Linked DNA regions of Tamandua tetradactyla. The protein of the gene in region 1 purifies or fractionates together with the protein of each later gene. This does not show direct contact. Links are inferred from orthologs where the notes say so. Each region holds a gene or a part of one and is shown on either strand. Other genes may lie near its edges.

What was found.
Region 2: the proteins of SERTAD4 (region 1) and PPP2R2C purify together in Homo sapiens (affinity purification with mass spectrometry; 3 studies listed by BioGRID and IntAct, counting the BioPlex papers as one, with this or other methods). This does not show direct contact. The link is inferred for Tamandua tetradactyla from reciprocal best matches to the Homo sapiens genes SERTAD4 and PPP2R2C.

Annotation. Positions count from the first base shown.
Region 1 is NC_135330.1:68,422,564-68,430,811, forward strand, and holds the start of SERTAD4 (SERTA domain-containing protein 4), read left to right. Parts: upstream 1-5,137; 5' UTR 5,138-5,190; intron 5,191-8,248.
Region 2 is NC_135345.1:6,446,672-6,454,022, forward strand, and holds the start of PPP2R2C (protein phosphatase 2, regulatory subunit B, gamma), read left to right. Parts: upstream 1-4,156; 5' UTR 4,157-4,201; coding exon 4,202-4,271; exon of another isoform or gene 4,272-4,320; coding exon of another isoform or gene 4,321-4,348; intron 4,349-7,351. UniProt on the Homo sapiens protein: The B regulatory subunit might modulate substrate selectivity and catalytic activity, and might also direct the localization of the catalytic enzyme to a particular subcellular compartment.

The DNA.
Region 1 (8,248 bases):
AAGCTTGGTTTTGAGCGTGTCATTCTCCAGGTCAAAAACCTTTAATTTTCTTCATTGTTTATCAAATTAAAAACAAACACTCATGGCCCCCATTTACCTTCCACTATCTGATTCTCCCAGTTAGATGAGATCTGTCCCTCCATTGAAATCCCTTGGCATCTACTATGCTCTGAATTATGTCATTCTTTCTATGCTTGTCTTATGCTACTCAATATATTGAGAACTCCATTAGTCCAAGAACAGTGTCTTATTTACCTCTACTACACTTGCAGTACCTAGCTCAATGGTGGCGTTTAAAATCCACATAATTATGGAAGTGTTTTTGAGTGAGGTTTGAAGGAAGATGAGAAAGACATTGGAGGAGTTTCTGACTCCTGAAAGGATACTTTCGCCAAGAAATGACATCCGAGGGTTCTGGAGAGCAACTTTACATACTTTGTCATTTTGTCTAAGACTCTAGCTTTGGACAAGCATTTTGGCAAGGAATGGAAATCTGTGTTGTAAAAAAGGAGGGTTGGTCAAAAGCACCAGCAACCACTTGATAAAACAGTGTGTCAGGTACTCTCAGACAGGCCTGGGGTGCCTGGGGATCTTAGGATGTCTTCAGGTCCTGGAATGCTGCAGTGCAGAGAAGAGCACAGGGCCAGATAACTCTAGAACAGATAAATGAGTTGGTGATAAAAACTTCATGCCCATTCTATACAAAAGACTGTTATAGCTCTAATTCAGCCTTGTTTGAGCTTCCGTACAGAAGTGAAAGTAACTCTCGGTCAACTGTCCAATCAATCAAGAAATATTTATTAAGTGCTTTCAGTATTCTAAGTACTGGTAGGTGCTGAGAAAACAGGCATGAATAAGAAGGCAAAAAAAATGCCTGTCTTCATGGGTCTTACTTTCTAGTAAAAGGGGAGAAGTGATAAATAAAATAAACACATAAATTATAGAGCTTATTACAAGGTGATAAATTCTCTGGATAAAAATAAAGCAGAATAGAGGTGAAGTGTTAGCATTTCAAACAGAGTGATCAGGCTTGGTTAAGAAGGCAATCTTAAAGCAAAGGCCAGGAAGAGGTAGGGCACTGATCTGTGCAGCTAACTGGGGAAAAGCATTCTAAGCACAGGGAATAACAAACGCAAATGTCTTGAGGTAAGTACAAGTTTGGCATATTAGAAGAATAGCTAGAAGGCCAGAGGGGCTGGAGGGGCTGGAGGCAGAGTAAAGTTAAGAGAAGTCAGAGTGAAGTTATTAGAAGAATAGCCAGGAGGCCAGGGGAACTGGAGGGGCTGGAGGCAGACTTTGTAGGCCATTATACTTTTAGTGAATGAGGAACCTTAAGGAGATTCTTAGTCAAAGTTGTATCACTGACTACTGAGCTGAGATTGAACTGCAGAGGGGGCCAAAGGAAGAAGCAGGGAATCGGTTAGATGGCTATTGTAATGACCCAAGCAAGAGATGATGATTGTAAAGGTAGAGACTTGAGGATGTTCTGATGAATTAGATGTAAAGCATGAAGAAAAAAGAGTCAAGGATGAGCCCAAGTTTGTTCATTTGTTTGTTAGAGCAACCAGAAAAACAATGTGGTTTATTAAATGAGGTGGAGATGGGGTGGAGAACATTAAAGGTGGCACAGGTTGCAAGGAAGGCAGGGACAATCAGGAGTTCAGTTTTAGATCTGTAAAGTTTGTAGTACCTGTTACACATCCAAATGGAGTATGGAGGTTATGAGAGAAGTCTGGGCTGGGGACAGAAATTTAGATGTCATCAGACCATAGATAGTATTTGAAGCTATGAAATCAGCAAGGGATTGGCTATAGAGAAGAGACAAAGTCTAAGGATTCATCTTGAAGCACTCCAACTCGGAGGTCATAGAGAAGAGGAAGAACCAGCAAAGCAGACTTAGAAGGAACAACCACTAGGGAGAAGGCACACCAAGTGGGTATACTGTTCTGGAAGAAAGAGTAAGAAGTATTTCAAGGAAGAAAACGTAGTTAACCGGGTTGAATGCTGCTTATAGGTCACGTAAGATGAGAACTGAGAAACGATCTTTGGATTTAACAACATGGCAGTCATTGTGGACACTGACAATAGCAGTTTCAGTGGTGTGATGGGATGAAAGCATAATTGGAGAGGGTGTGAGAAGAGAGCAATGGAGAGATTCAGTATAGATTATCCTTTTCACTGTTAAGATCCTGCACTTGAAAAAAAAAGCCAGTAATTCATATTTTTCACTAATCCAAATGGCCATTATGTCCTTCCTGAATAAGGAAAATTTTACTCATGAAATCCCCCTTTCAAATGATATAAAGTTTTTGTGAAATGGGTTTCAGCAGTTTTATGTCTGGCACTCTCTTTGTTAACTGAAGAAAAACAATCCCTCCTTCAGTGAATTTGCAGCTCAAGTTATTTTAAGTTTTATAATCAAACTCCTATCTCAGAACTTCACACACACACACACACATCACAAGATGATGACATCATAGTTCTCAGGTTAAATATTGCAACTCACTATAAATTACATTCTCTCGTTCCAAATATTTCATTGAGTCACAGGTATTTTTTTTTCTTGTGCCATAGCCACTGCTTACTTTAAATTTTTAGATGATATTTCTCATTCAGTGAACATTTGACTGCCCTTTGTGCTTGTCGACACAGGTTCATGTTGCCAACAGTTGTGCACTGAATTTCAGAAAACATTAAGCTTTGAGGTTAAAAGTAGAGCAGGGAAAGCTGTCAGAAAAAAACATGCTACCCTAATGTATCTGAACAAGACAGGGGCAAGTTCATACTCAGATCCACAAGGTTGCTGTGCAGTACAACTGTTTTGATACTTGTGATGTCATTTTGCTTTAACATTAAAGCCAAGAGTCCTCCCACCCAAGGGCAATGACAATTTCCCAGAAGACTTGTTTCTCCGAGTCAAAGCTCCAAAGATGCCAATGCAACCCATGCTAATACTTAGTCTCATGTTATTTCTCAATTTTATGCTTAATTTGTTCCTTTTGGTTTTATGTATTTCAACACAGCCAAGACTATGTGGGGATTTCCCCACAGTCCTTTAAATGCCATAAAAGTTTAATATAGGGAGATAAAAACAATAATAAGCCATGCCTCCAAGCCCTCACATTTAGTTCTTTATTTGAGTTAGAGGCTAACCAGTTCTAGAGTGGTTTAGATTTTTAAGTACTTGTGCTGCTTTAAATGCTCTCATCCCCTTCCTTACTCTCCTCCCCCATCATATGTAAATTATATTCTTTCCTTAACCTGGGCATGGAACTTCTATTGATTGCACAATATGGCATCACTGCAATTCTTAAATTATCATCATAATGGCCTACATCATGCATAAACCAGTGCAGTTTAACATGACTCGGAATAAAGCCAAGATGGTTGCTGTAGTCCCAATTTCAGACAAGCAACACTGGAATGTCTTTTGGAAAATATGAAATAATGCTCCTGAAATTCTATTGGGTTAGTCTCTTTTCAGCATAATTGCCTTCTCTCAGCTTCCTAATACCCTTAAAACCTCTGAAAGTCTTTAATGTACAGAGTTCAACAAAAATACCTTCAGAACAGATTAGTTCTAATTATGGTTAGTATTTGTTTGCTGCTTTATTGAATCAACTACATTTGCTTTAAGAAAAAAAGAAATTCACTTAACTGCATGTCAGTCACCCAAATTTTAAGTGTACAAATGAAATGGAAAACATTTATTACACAAATTTAATTACAATTCTAAGAAATAAACATGCAAATTAGATAGAGTTCAATTTGCAGATGCTAATCCTCATCCTTGATCTTGTTCCTTTCCTCCCTGATTCTCAGTCTGTGCATCTCCTTGATTCCTAGGGTGCCAGGGGCAGCAAGAGGTTCGGTTTTTCACAGTCGGAGGATCACTGTTTTAAAGAAGTGTTATATTTAGCACATCTGGCATGGTAGCAGTAAACAAACATTGTAGTCTTTGTAACACTTTTGTGCAGGTGCCTTCCCCCGATTTTATTAGGTTTATGCCTTCCAAGCCTCTGTGTTCATTACACCTGAAATGACCAATCTTGACTAGGGAGGGGGGATTCCTAGACAGAAATTATGAATTAATGTTTAAAAAAAACCAACCAAACAAATTGAACCCAATATAGGGAAAAACAACTATTTGCAAAATCATGTGATTCTGGGGCTTAAATTAACATTTCTGTTGACAAAGCCAGCTTCCTCTATTACTTTTTATTTCCTGGAGGTTTTCCCTAGAGCTTCTCCCCCGCCCCCCTCCCGCCCCGAGAGAGTTACCAATTCAAGTTGCAGCAGGACCAAGGTTGCTTTTTTGTACATATGTAGCTCAGGAGAGGAACGGGCGGGGGCGGGCGCGGAGGGGAGAGTAACTGCTTGGTCCTGCAAAGACATCTGTTTCTCATCTCCGCTTGCTGTGGCAAAGGAGAAGAAAGTCTATTGCAAAGGGTGGGAAAGGCACAGATTCTTTTTTTAATATCACACACGCGCGCGCGCACGCACGCACACACACACATACATGCCCTTCACAACAACAATAAAACTAAACCAATTTTTAGAAAATAATAAGAAAAGACATCTCAGAAGGTTGCAGAGTGAACACGTTTCTGGGCTGGAGCCGAGCCCCCAAGGCTAGGGCGGGAGCCCGGGTGTGCGTGGGGTCTGGGCTGCAGGCTGGAGCTGGGCCCGCGTGTCCCCGGGCACCGCGAGGGGAGGGGAGGGGAGGGGAGGGAGGAGGGAGGGCGGGAAGGAGGCAGGGGGCGGGCTGGGGTGGGGGTGAGGGGAAGGCGCCCCGTGTGCTGCCTGAGGAGCGGCGGCGGCGGCAGAGGGAGGGAGCGAGCGGGAGCGGGCGCGCTTGTCATGTTCCCTCTCTCACCCTGGGGGCATCCTGCAGAACCTCTCCTCGGAAATCCACGGGGAAATGGCAAACAGGATTGACGGGTTTCACACGCTCCTCGCTAGACAGAGCCGCTCATTACCATAACCGTCTGCAGCGACGGCGGCGCAGCGCCCCAGACGCGGCGGCGGGACCTACCGGGACCCTCGCCCACCGCGCACCAGCGGCCACCGCCGATCGGGCCGCCGGGCCGGGACCCGCGCGAGTGTACTGGCGGCCCGGCTGGCGCCGACCCCAGAGCGGATAAGCAGCAGCTCCGGCGCTGCGGCCGCCGCCTCCCCGCTGACCCCGCGGTAAGAGCCGGGCTGGGAGCCGGCCGCCAGGGCGGAAGGGCCAGGGAGGGTGGAAGGCGGAGGCTGGTTCTCCAGAGCGTCTGCTGGCGCGGGCTGGCACTCACGCGGCTCCCCGCGCTCCCTTCCAGCCGCTGTGTCGCACCGGGGTCACCTAGTGGACCGGCACCCGGCAGGGTCGGGGGCGGTGTGAGGCCGGGGAGGAGGCGGCGCGGGCTTTTCCAGGGCTGGGCGTGCGCCGCGGCGCCTCTACCCAGGCGGGAACCGCCGCCGCCTCTAGAGCCGCTCGGGCTGCCGCCCGTGTGGACGTAGTCGACTCAAGGGGCGGGTGGAGACAGCGGCTCTGCTGGGACCTCAGACCGCCGCCTCTGCCCTCACCCTAGGGGACGTGGTCAGTACTAGGGACGACTGGTCTGGAAGCCGCGACGCTTGGCAGGTGGGGAGGGAGAGAAATTGTAGATGTCAGGAGCGCGCGTTTGCAAGAAAAAGGAATAGCTGCTGGAGCTGACACCTTCTGTCCCCCGCCACCTCCGCCCCCGCACCCTCCTCCCAGGCAGCCGAGCCGCGCTGCGGGCGGCGGCGGCTCCTCTGTCCTCAGCTCACCTCCCTGGCGGGCTAAGGCTGCAGCCCTCCTGGTCCACGCCTCCGCCTCTCTCCCCCCTTCCTCCCCTCCCGCCTCCTCGGCCTTAGCAACTTTCCCCGGTGCCCACTGGTGCCGCAGAGACTGGAGGACAGGCGGCCCCGGGGCTCGGGGTGGCGCGGACCGAGTGGTCCCGGGCGGGGGCGGTAGGCCGTGTTGTCACGGCTCCTGTCCTCGGGTGCGAAGGGAACTCCCGCAGCCGCGGGCTCTGAGTAGGTCTGACCCGCGAGGGAGGGAGGACCCGGCAGGCATCTGCTGCGGTCTGGAGCGCGGGGCCCGGGCCAGCCTCGCCAGAGCCCTGCCAACCGCCGTGAGTCATTTCCTTGGAATCCTACCTTTGGTGTTTATTTCCCTTAGAAGGAAACTTGGTTTAAAAAAAAAAAAAAAACACAGAGAAAGAAAGAAAGAATAATAATAGCTCTTATTCTTTCGTAGCAGAGGCACGCAGCTCCGGCACCGGCACCGCAGAAAGACAACTTGCCCTTTGTTCCCAGCCACTTGGGGTGTTGTTTACTTTCTCTTGCGGCCGGGCGGTCACTGTTGGCTGTCCCGGAGAGGGGCTCACGGGCAGCGGCATCGACCCCCGAAGGTGGCTGTGCGGAGGCCGGGACGCGGTGGCTGCAGCCGAGCGGGCAGCGGGTCGTTCCTCCAAACCTCGGCCCCTCCTCTCTGGTCGGGGTTGGGGAAAGCCGGCTCGGGCTCAGACATCCAGACACCCGCCTGCGTCTCCCAAGCCCTGCGCCCACTTTCCCAGCCCTAGGATCAAATCTAAAGCTCTTGGACTCTCGGGCCTTCTGCTGAGAAATGTGCTTCCCAGGGCAGACAGGTGCACTGCAGGGACTGGCAGAAAAACGACATGTCTGTGTAGAAGCGTTGAAGGATTTTGTTCTGCCGGTCCAGACCTCTCCACCACCACTGCCTCGGCCAAGAGATTTTGTCAGGGAGAGAGGTGAGGTCAGGCGCTTGATTCCACCTGGGAAGGACATTGAAGAGTGGCCATGTCAGAGGTGAATTGAAAATAGCAGCCCTTTACTTCCCTGCTTTTAAGTGTTGGAATCAGACTTCTGACTGCTGTAGTTGCTCTTGATAAAAGGGCCCCTAATTTCCAATCATAGATGGGGAGGGGAGGGGCAGAGAATGACAGGAGCCCCCTTGTTATATTCGAGGTGCCGCTGAATCTGTGCCTATCCTGTGTGCCAGCCACTCCTATTAGCATCATAATAGCTCCGAGGAAAGAACAAGCCCAACTCATCTGGAAAAACCAAATTGTGTAGAAATGCCTGGTAACTTTACTAGGAACATCTGTTGGAAAAGCTTGACATTTTAGCCCTCAGCTTTCTGGAGATGCTTGATGTGCCATTCCACCATAGCCACTTGGCTGACGAAACAGACATGTAGAAGCCTGAGGATAAAGGTTTAGGACTTTTCTTACTTTTTAAAATTCACGTATAGACAAGTCACACTCTAACACACACCCCCTTTTGAATCCACTCACCTCTGATGTTAAAAACACACACATTTCATGATAAAGGTAAATCTTTGTGGCTGTATTTAATGTTAACAGCACATGAATTTGTTTACATGAACTTCTGAATCCAATAGCAGAATTATAGTGTAAATCTCATAGAGAGGAAAATGATAGTTTGAATCTGTACATATTCTATAAATAGTCATGTGAAATATTGGCGCCTGGCGCTGCACTTCCACTTTTTCATGAACGTTAAACTTGCCTCCTTAATTTGTTAACATCCCAGTGTGCAGCCTAAATAAGACCCAATTGCAAAATCTCCTCCCTGCTCCCAAATAATCCCAACTCATTCATGTTTTATTCGGACTTACAAAAATCACTTACTGAACTCAGCCTCTCTGACTGAAAATTTTGTGTGTAAAAGTTTCCATTTCACAAAAGAAAAACTTCATGAACTAGGAATATCGTAACGAAAAAAATAGCCAAAATAAAAAATGACTATGCCAAAGATCAAATTCAGATGCATACTGAAATCAATACTAATAAAAACTTTGAAATTCTTAACAATCAAAACAACTTCAACAATAAGTCAGTAAAATATAAACAAACTCCAATATAAAAGAGCACAGCATCCACATAATGTCCTATTATGCAAAGGTAATTGCTGCTAGGTGACTGCGAATGCTTTCCCTTCTTAAGAGACATGGGCTTGTCTACCTGTTTTTTATTATATGTAATAAAAATTCTACATAGGCAGAACTTGAATCTTATTCCCAGAGTCCAGCATAAAACTGAGTGTAAATTGCAAACTGGAAAATTTTTGTTGCAGTTGGTAATAGAGGACTAATTCATCTGATAAAAAAAACCTTGATTCACTTGCTTCTGGCAATAGCATTTCCCAGTATGATTGTCCTTCAGAGTAGGTTTAAGAAATGAACCATTTCATGAGAGTC
Region 2 (7,351 bases), on another chromosome or scaffold:
TGGCAGAGGGTGAAGCCCTGGATTCTAGCAGGGCAGCTGGCACAAGGAATGGAGGGTTGGAGAGCTCTGTCTGTGGAGGCCTGGGGCCTTGGTGGTTGACGCCGAGGGAGGAGTTGAGGGGGAGCCTATGCCTTGAGAAATGGGAATGGAGATGAGAGCTAGTGCAGGCAGGGCTGGGTGTGGCAAATGGCTAGACTCGCAGGAAATAACAACAAACTCTTTAACGAGCCTGTGCAGAGGCGGGGACTCTCTTACATTTCATCTTTGGAGGCTGTTTAATGGCAGGTACTCAAGTGTGATGGTCAGGTTCATGTGTCAACTTGGCCAGGTGGTGGTACCTGTTTGTCTGGTTGGGCCAGTGCTGGCCTGTCTGTTGTGATGAGGACATTTCATAGAATTAAATCATGATCATGTCAGCTGCATCCACAGCTGATTCCATTTATATTCAGCCAAGGGGAGTGTCTTCTGCAATGGTGATGCTCAGTCTAATCACTGGAAGCCTTTTAAGGAGGATTCAGAAGAGACAGGCTCTTTTCCTGCTTCGGCTGGCGAGCCTCTCCTATGGAGTTTGTCCAGACCCTCGATCGGAATCGTCAGCTTCACAGCCTGCCCTGTGGATTTTAGACTCTGCGTTCCCATGGTTACATGAGACACTTTTATAAATTTTATATTTGCAAGTGCTTCCTGTTGATTCTGTTCTCTAGAGAACCCTAACTAATACATAAAGCTGAACATACATAGGCTGTATGTACACCCAGTCTTCCAGCAATGTGACAATTCCCTGACAGGAGCGTGTGCATGATGTGCTGAGACATGGCAGCATTATTCATAATAGTCTCTAAATTGAAACTTTTAATGTCCAATAGTAGAACAGAGAAATTGTGAATTTCCATGATGGAATATTATACAACAGTGAAAAATGAACAAATTGCAGCTATATATGTAGAACAACATGAGTGAATCTCAGAAGCGTCATGTTGCGCAGAAGAAACTAGATACAAAGCCAGCCAAACCTTATGATTCTATTTGTAGAAAGTTCTCAGACAAGCAAAACTCCAGTGTGAGAAGCCAAGGTGGTGGTTGCCTCTGGGGAGGGACCCACGGTGGCAAGAGGGGATAGTGAAGGAGGCCCCAGGGGGCGGGCCACGTCCTCATTCCTGACTTGGGGGCAGTTACATGAATGTTTGCCCCACGATAGTTGGCTGAGTTGACTCTACGTTTTGTGCACTTCTCTGCACACGTACTGTAACTCCAGGTAAAACAAGTCAGGGGGGAAAAGAGAAGAACACCGAGACCCGTTTCAGGGACCATTGAAAGACGTGCAACTTCCAAAGCAGCCAAGGAGGCAGAGGAGTTAGAGCAGCAGGTGGTGTCACCGAGGTCAGGGAAGGTGGTGGGGGTGGCCAGCAGGGTGGCTGCAGTGGGAGGTCAGCTAAGGGAGGGGGCAAGGACCAGGCAGGCCATCGGATGTTCACTTGGAATTGTCTGCATTGCTCTACCATGAGGTCAACCCCACGAGAGCTGGAGATTTTATCTGTTCTTTTCCCTGCTCTAAGCCTCCTGCCTGCACATAGTGGGCACTCAACAAACATTTGTCATGAATGAATAAATGGGAGCAGCTGGTGAGGAGGGAGGGGGCTGTAGGGGCAGGGTGAGGAGCGGTGGGGCAGGGGAAGGGGTGTGCAGACACAGATGGGGCAGCTGGTGCAAGTGGTGGTATCGGGGTGGTGGTGGCAGCATCCTGGAGAGGTGGAAGGAGCCCCAGAGGCCTGGGCCCTGATGGATGAGGGCAAGGGGCCCCGGGAGACGGAGGACGAGCCCCCGAGGGCGGCAGACGAGACCACCTTGCAGGGGGGCAGGGGCTGATGTGGGGTCTGGTGGACCCTGGGAGGTTAGAAACTCCCAACTTGGGGTGCCCAGAGTGGCTGAGATGCTGACGACCAGGGCAGGGCTGTTATATTGTGGTCTGGGGCTTTCAGCAGACCTGACAGACCAGAAGGATGGCATGGGGGTGGGGGTCTCCCCAAAATCAGTGAGGAAGGGATGGGAGCTGCACGAGGGGGAAGCACAGAAGCCCTGGGAGGCGCATCCAGTGGCTGCGTCCATTTCACAGATAAGGCTGGCCATGCCTTGGCCCCCTCCATCTGTCTTCCAGTGTCCATGGCTTTGGGTGTTTTGTTGTGCTAGGGGTGTAGGCGGAGAGTGGGGTGTTGGTTTAGGGAGCGAGGTGTCGGGTATTTGAGGAGCCCAGGCCTTACGGAGAGAGGAGAACAGATCTTATGCCCTCTGGGCACTCCCAGGCTGGTGGGAGAAAGAAGCCAGTGTGAAAGTCACCTTTGTGTCAGGTAGGAGGTGACCTGAGGGCTGGCTGCGTCAGTGCCAGGCCAGGTGCTGTCCCAGGCAGAAGCCTTACCCGGTCCTTGCATGGACTTTGCACACCTGTGCTGGGACAGGTTGGAGGACTTGCCCAGGTCACTCAGCCAGGAGGTGCTCCCTCCAGGACCTCACCCCTGGTCTAGTCCATTTACTCCCTATGTGGAGGGGGGGAGGGGGGTCTCCACCACCCACAGGTCCATTCTGAGCATTTGTTTTGGATGAAAGCCCAGCTCTAGCTGAGGCACTGCCCTCCGCCACAGCTGGCACCCACCCTGGCCAGTCTTTCCCGTAACCCCCATCCTCTAACCAGCCCTTTCTGAACTTCCTGCCCTCACTGCGGCTGATTTGGGGAGCTGCTTGGAGTCCCCACAAAACCAGATGAAAGGAGCGGAGGGCTTAACCAGTGGGGAAATTGGGTGGGAGCGACTGCACCTCCTGCCGGCTTGAACCCCCACCCCCACCCCCATCTCGGGGAAGCACCAGACACCCTGGCTACCCACTGCATTTCTTCCCTCGCCTCCCAGTCCCTTTCCAAAGACAGACTACTGGGTCCCAAGGGTTGATTTAGAAGCCCCCTGGCCCTGCGATCAGAGCAGAGCACTCAGGGTCACAGGGCCGGGACTTTGCTCCCGGGAACTGGGGGTTCCGCCAGAGAGGGAATAAATACTTGAAGGCCTACTATGTGCTAGGCACCGTGTAAGATGTTGGGGGACACATGATTAAAGGGAGGCAGGCCGGCAGCTCCTGCACGGCGCTACGGCGTGGGGGCGGGGACAGCATTTTGCATGCTTTTGGCATGCACGCGGCACTGTGCCTGCCACTTCTGCTCACCAGGAAGGAAAGGGGTGCGTTAGGTGCAGAAGCGTGATCACGGAGCCAGCATCTCACCCAGCTTGTCCCGGACTGTGCTGACACCCTCCAGCCCCCCTGCCCCCACGCCCCAGCTTCTTCACGGGGCCCATTTTGCGCTCCTGGAGCGGGGGAGGGGGCTAGAAGGGACCTGACCCACGCCCCCTCTTCTACCTGCCGGCCACTTGGGCTGTGGGCCGGCCTCGGGACCGCTGCCCTCCCACCCCCTCCGCAGTGACCCATTCTCCAGGTACGCCGCCCCAGCTCTTCAGCGGCCCCCCACAACCCAATCCACCCAAACGTCGGCCGCCTCTTCTATTCCCGGAGCACCGGGGCACCAAGACGCACCCTCAAAGCTGAGCTGACCCGCTCCCCGTCCCTCAAACCGACCGCTTCCTTCCAACCTCCCCTGCGGCGCACTCGGGCTCCCGAGGTGCCCACCCGCGCGGGGCCGGAGCCCCGAGCCGCCGCCTGGGCCTGGCGCAGGTTCCACCTGCGGGGTCGCTCGTGGGCCGGCGGCGCGGGGCGCGGGGGCGGAGGAGCGGGCGGCGCGAGGGAGGGGCCTGCGACAGCGGCGGCGGCCGCCCCAGCCCGCGCAGCCCGGCTCGGCCCCGGCTCGCTCGGCGCAGCGCCGCGCGCGTCCCCTCGCCGCCGCCGCCGCCGCCGCCGCCTGGCGCCCCGCAGCCCGGCCTCCGGGCGCACGACGCAGCGCGCACGGGCCGGCCGGGATGCGCGCCCGGCCCCCGGCCCGCCCGACCCCGCGGCCGCCGCCCGCCCGCCGCGCGCTCGCCTGACCGCGGCGCCCCCGCCCCCCGCCCGGCCGCCCCCCACGCCCGCGATGCCCGCCCCCCGGGGCCCCGGCGGCCCGCGCCCCTGCTAGGCTGCGGCGGCATGGCCCGCGCGCCCGGCGCGACCTCTGCGGATTGCATCGGTGTGCGGCGGCGGGGCATGCCCAGGGCACCGGGCACGGCCTTCAATGGGCGAGGACACGGACACGCGGAAAATTAACCACAGCTTCCTGCGGGACCACAGCTATGTGACTGAAGGTAACGTACGTGTTGTCTGAGACCCCCTCCGGCCGGCCGCGGCGTGGGGATGCCGTCGCACCGAATGCCCTCCGAAGGTTTGGACCGCGCGATGTGTGTCGTGTCACCCCACCCCACCCCACCCCACCCCACCCCGCCCCACGCGCCCCGGGCCCAGGAGGGAGGGAGCCGGGGGTCAGCAGCCAGGGCCCAGGCGGGGTCGCCTTCCCTGCCAGGCGGAGAGGCGATGCCCTCCTCCGCGCCGCCCTCCGGGAGTCACCGCGGGAGGCAGCTTTTCGCTCCGTGGCCAGGTGGCATCCTGAACCGCCCCGGCCATCGTTTCTGAAAAGGCCATCCCTTCGGCTAATCTGGTGAAGGAATCCGGGGGGGGGGGGGGGGAAATGTAATGGGTTAAAACCCTGAATTTGACATTTCAGCCCTGCCCAAAACCCGCAGAATTTTCTAGGCTGCCCACTCCCTGGAGACGAAGAGGGACCCAGAAGAAAAAATCCAATTGCCGGGTCCTTGGCTGTCCCTCCTCCTCCCCTCCCTGGGCCTCTGGAGGCAGGGGTCCCTTAGCGGGAGGGGGAAGGAGGCCGCTGGAGTTTGGTCTTTTATTCTTGGTGATTTATATACTGAGGCAGGAGGAGCTGGCCGGAAACGGTCAGGATTTCCCTGAAAAGTGGGACATGCCTCCCCAAACGGGCCCTGCATTTGAAATCTCCCAAGTCGGCCATAAGAATCCAGAGGGTCACCGTCCCTTTTTTGTAGGTCAGTAACTTCCAAGGGGCCTTGCCTAGGGGACAGCGGCGACACCTCCGGTGCACGGCCAGAGGGCTGCGGAGTGAGCCCCGGGTGGGGGGTGGGGAGGCTGCGGGCGCCGGGTTCATTATTCCCGAGGCCTTCCGTGTCCACGGGCGGTGGGCATCTTCCCAGGAGCTGCAGAAGTGTTGGTGGGCTTTGGGCAAGGGGTGCCCCTGGTGGGTGCCCATGTGGGAAGGGCTCTGGGGAGGGGCTCACTGAGGGGCCCTGAGCACTGCAGCCCACAGCGTTGGTGTGCGTGGGTGCTTGTCTCAGGGAGCTCGCGGGGCTCAGCGGCAGTTTGCGTCTGCCAGCCCGATGCCTGGATGCCTGGATCTGCCGGAAATGAGGCCGAGTCCCGGGGCTGGAGCCCTGTGGGGCCGGGAGAGCGCGGGGCCCCGGCAGGTGGGCTCCCCCCTGTTCCTGATCTGGTGGCAGGGGAGCATTGGATGGGGGTGGAGTGTGCCCCCAGTTCCCTGAGGAGAACCGCTGAGTCATGCTTTGCTGATGGGCGTGTGCGTGTGTGTGTGTGTGTGTGTGTGTGTGTGTGTGTGTGTGTGGTGGGGGAGGGGGCAGGGCTGCAGGGCTGGGTGAGAGAGCTGCTCCCAACCGGGGGCCCTCACAGCTGCCCAGGAGGCTGAACGCCACCCTATGTCTGCTGCCTGGGTGAGGCTGAGCAAGGATGGGCCTGTGTCAGGGTTGTTCTTTCTCTGCTCCTAGCCTGGTGGGCAGCAGAGGGTTAAAGAGGCCTCTGGGTCGCTGGCAGGGGGCCCAGCGGCCTGGCTTTGGTGGAGAGGGGAACTTGCCAGGTCCGCTCAGCTGTTCCCCAGCATGGCCTGGCCCCGCCTCCCCGGGGACACCTCCGTTTTATCATCTGTGCATTGGGGGTGACAGCACAGGGCCAGGTGTATGATTAAAAGTAAAAAGCAGCATGCCTGACCCTTAGTAGACATTACAAAGGTTGATTTTTTCCCTTACTCCATTCCCCATTTTATTTCAGAATTTCACGAGTGCTCGGCAGAAGAGAGCAAGGACAAGTGTGTAGCTATAGGAGAAAGAAGAAATGGCTTTTAATCCCTTTTCAGTGGTGGCAAGCCACTGTTCTAGCCCTGAGAGCAGGCAGTCTATATTCTAGCAGGGAGCCCTGGGCCCTTGCGGGTGTCTCTTCTCACTGGTACTCAGTTTCTTGCCTGTGAAATGGGAGCGAATGATAGCTTCCCAGGTGAGAGGGTGCGTGAGGGAGCCGCCTCGGAACTGCAGATTGCTGATGAGTGGCTAACTCCTGCTGGGGCCTCACCCAAGCATTCCTGTACCCTTGTCCCCACATTTTTAGATGGAAAACCTCAGTGTCTCAGTGTGCCAGGGCTGCTCCTTTAAATCCCACACTCTCGAGTAGCTTCAATGGCAGAAACTGACTGGCTCTGTTTTGGAGGCTAGAAGTCCAAAATCGAGGTCTTGCCAGGCCATACTTCCTCCTGGCGTCTGTAGCTTTCTCATGCTGGCTCGCCACCATTCTTGGGGTTCCTTGGCTTGTGTATGCATTTCTGCTTCCATCCTGCGGTGACCTCTCTCCATCTTTGGCTTCTGTTTCCATATCCAGTTTCCCCTGCTTACAAGGACGTCTGCCACATTGGAGGAAGGCCCACCCCTGTTCAGTCTGGGCTCACCTTAGCATCTTCACCAGTCCTACCCACAAATGGGTTCACACTCCAGGAACAGGGGTTGGGACTTGAACATGCCTTTGTGGGGGACGCAGTTGCACCCAGACTGAGCACCAGTGTGCATAAGGTATAGAGTCAAGGGGACAGGGGCAGAACTCCTGCCTTCAGGGAGGGCAGGGTCTAGTAGAGGAAGCAATTAATAATACTTATTAGAATTTTAGGAAAACTCTGGCTTCCTTAAGTGAAAACAGACTTTAACACTCTTGCATCCCTGACTGCATTTTATGCCCAGAGCACAGAGTAGATTACAGAGCTGGACTTCAGACAGAACTTGAGTTGATATCCTGCTTCTGACTCTTCACCTGCTATGCAACCTTGGAAAAGTTTCTTCCTTTTGCAAAGGGAAAAGTAATAGTGATCTCTCTTAATGGGTTGTTGGGATGACCAGGGACTATGCTAATGTAGAAAGCACCCAGCAGAGCCACAGTGCCTGTGGGAGGAATTGGATACACTTTATCATTTAAGTCTTGTTCCTAGAAGAGCTTTGAGAACAAATTATGGATGCTAAGGGTCATTTTGCAAAAGTCCTTATTTCATCTGGTCCTTTGCACTACATTTTGCCTAATGAGCTGCCCTCAC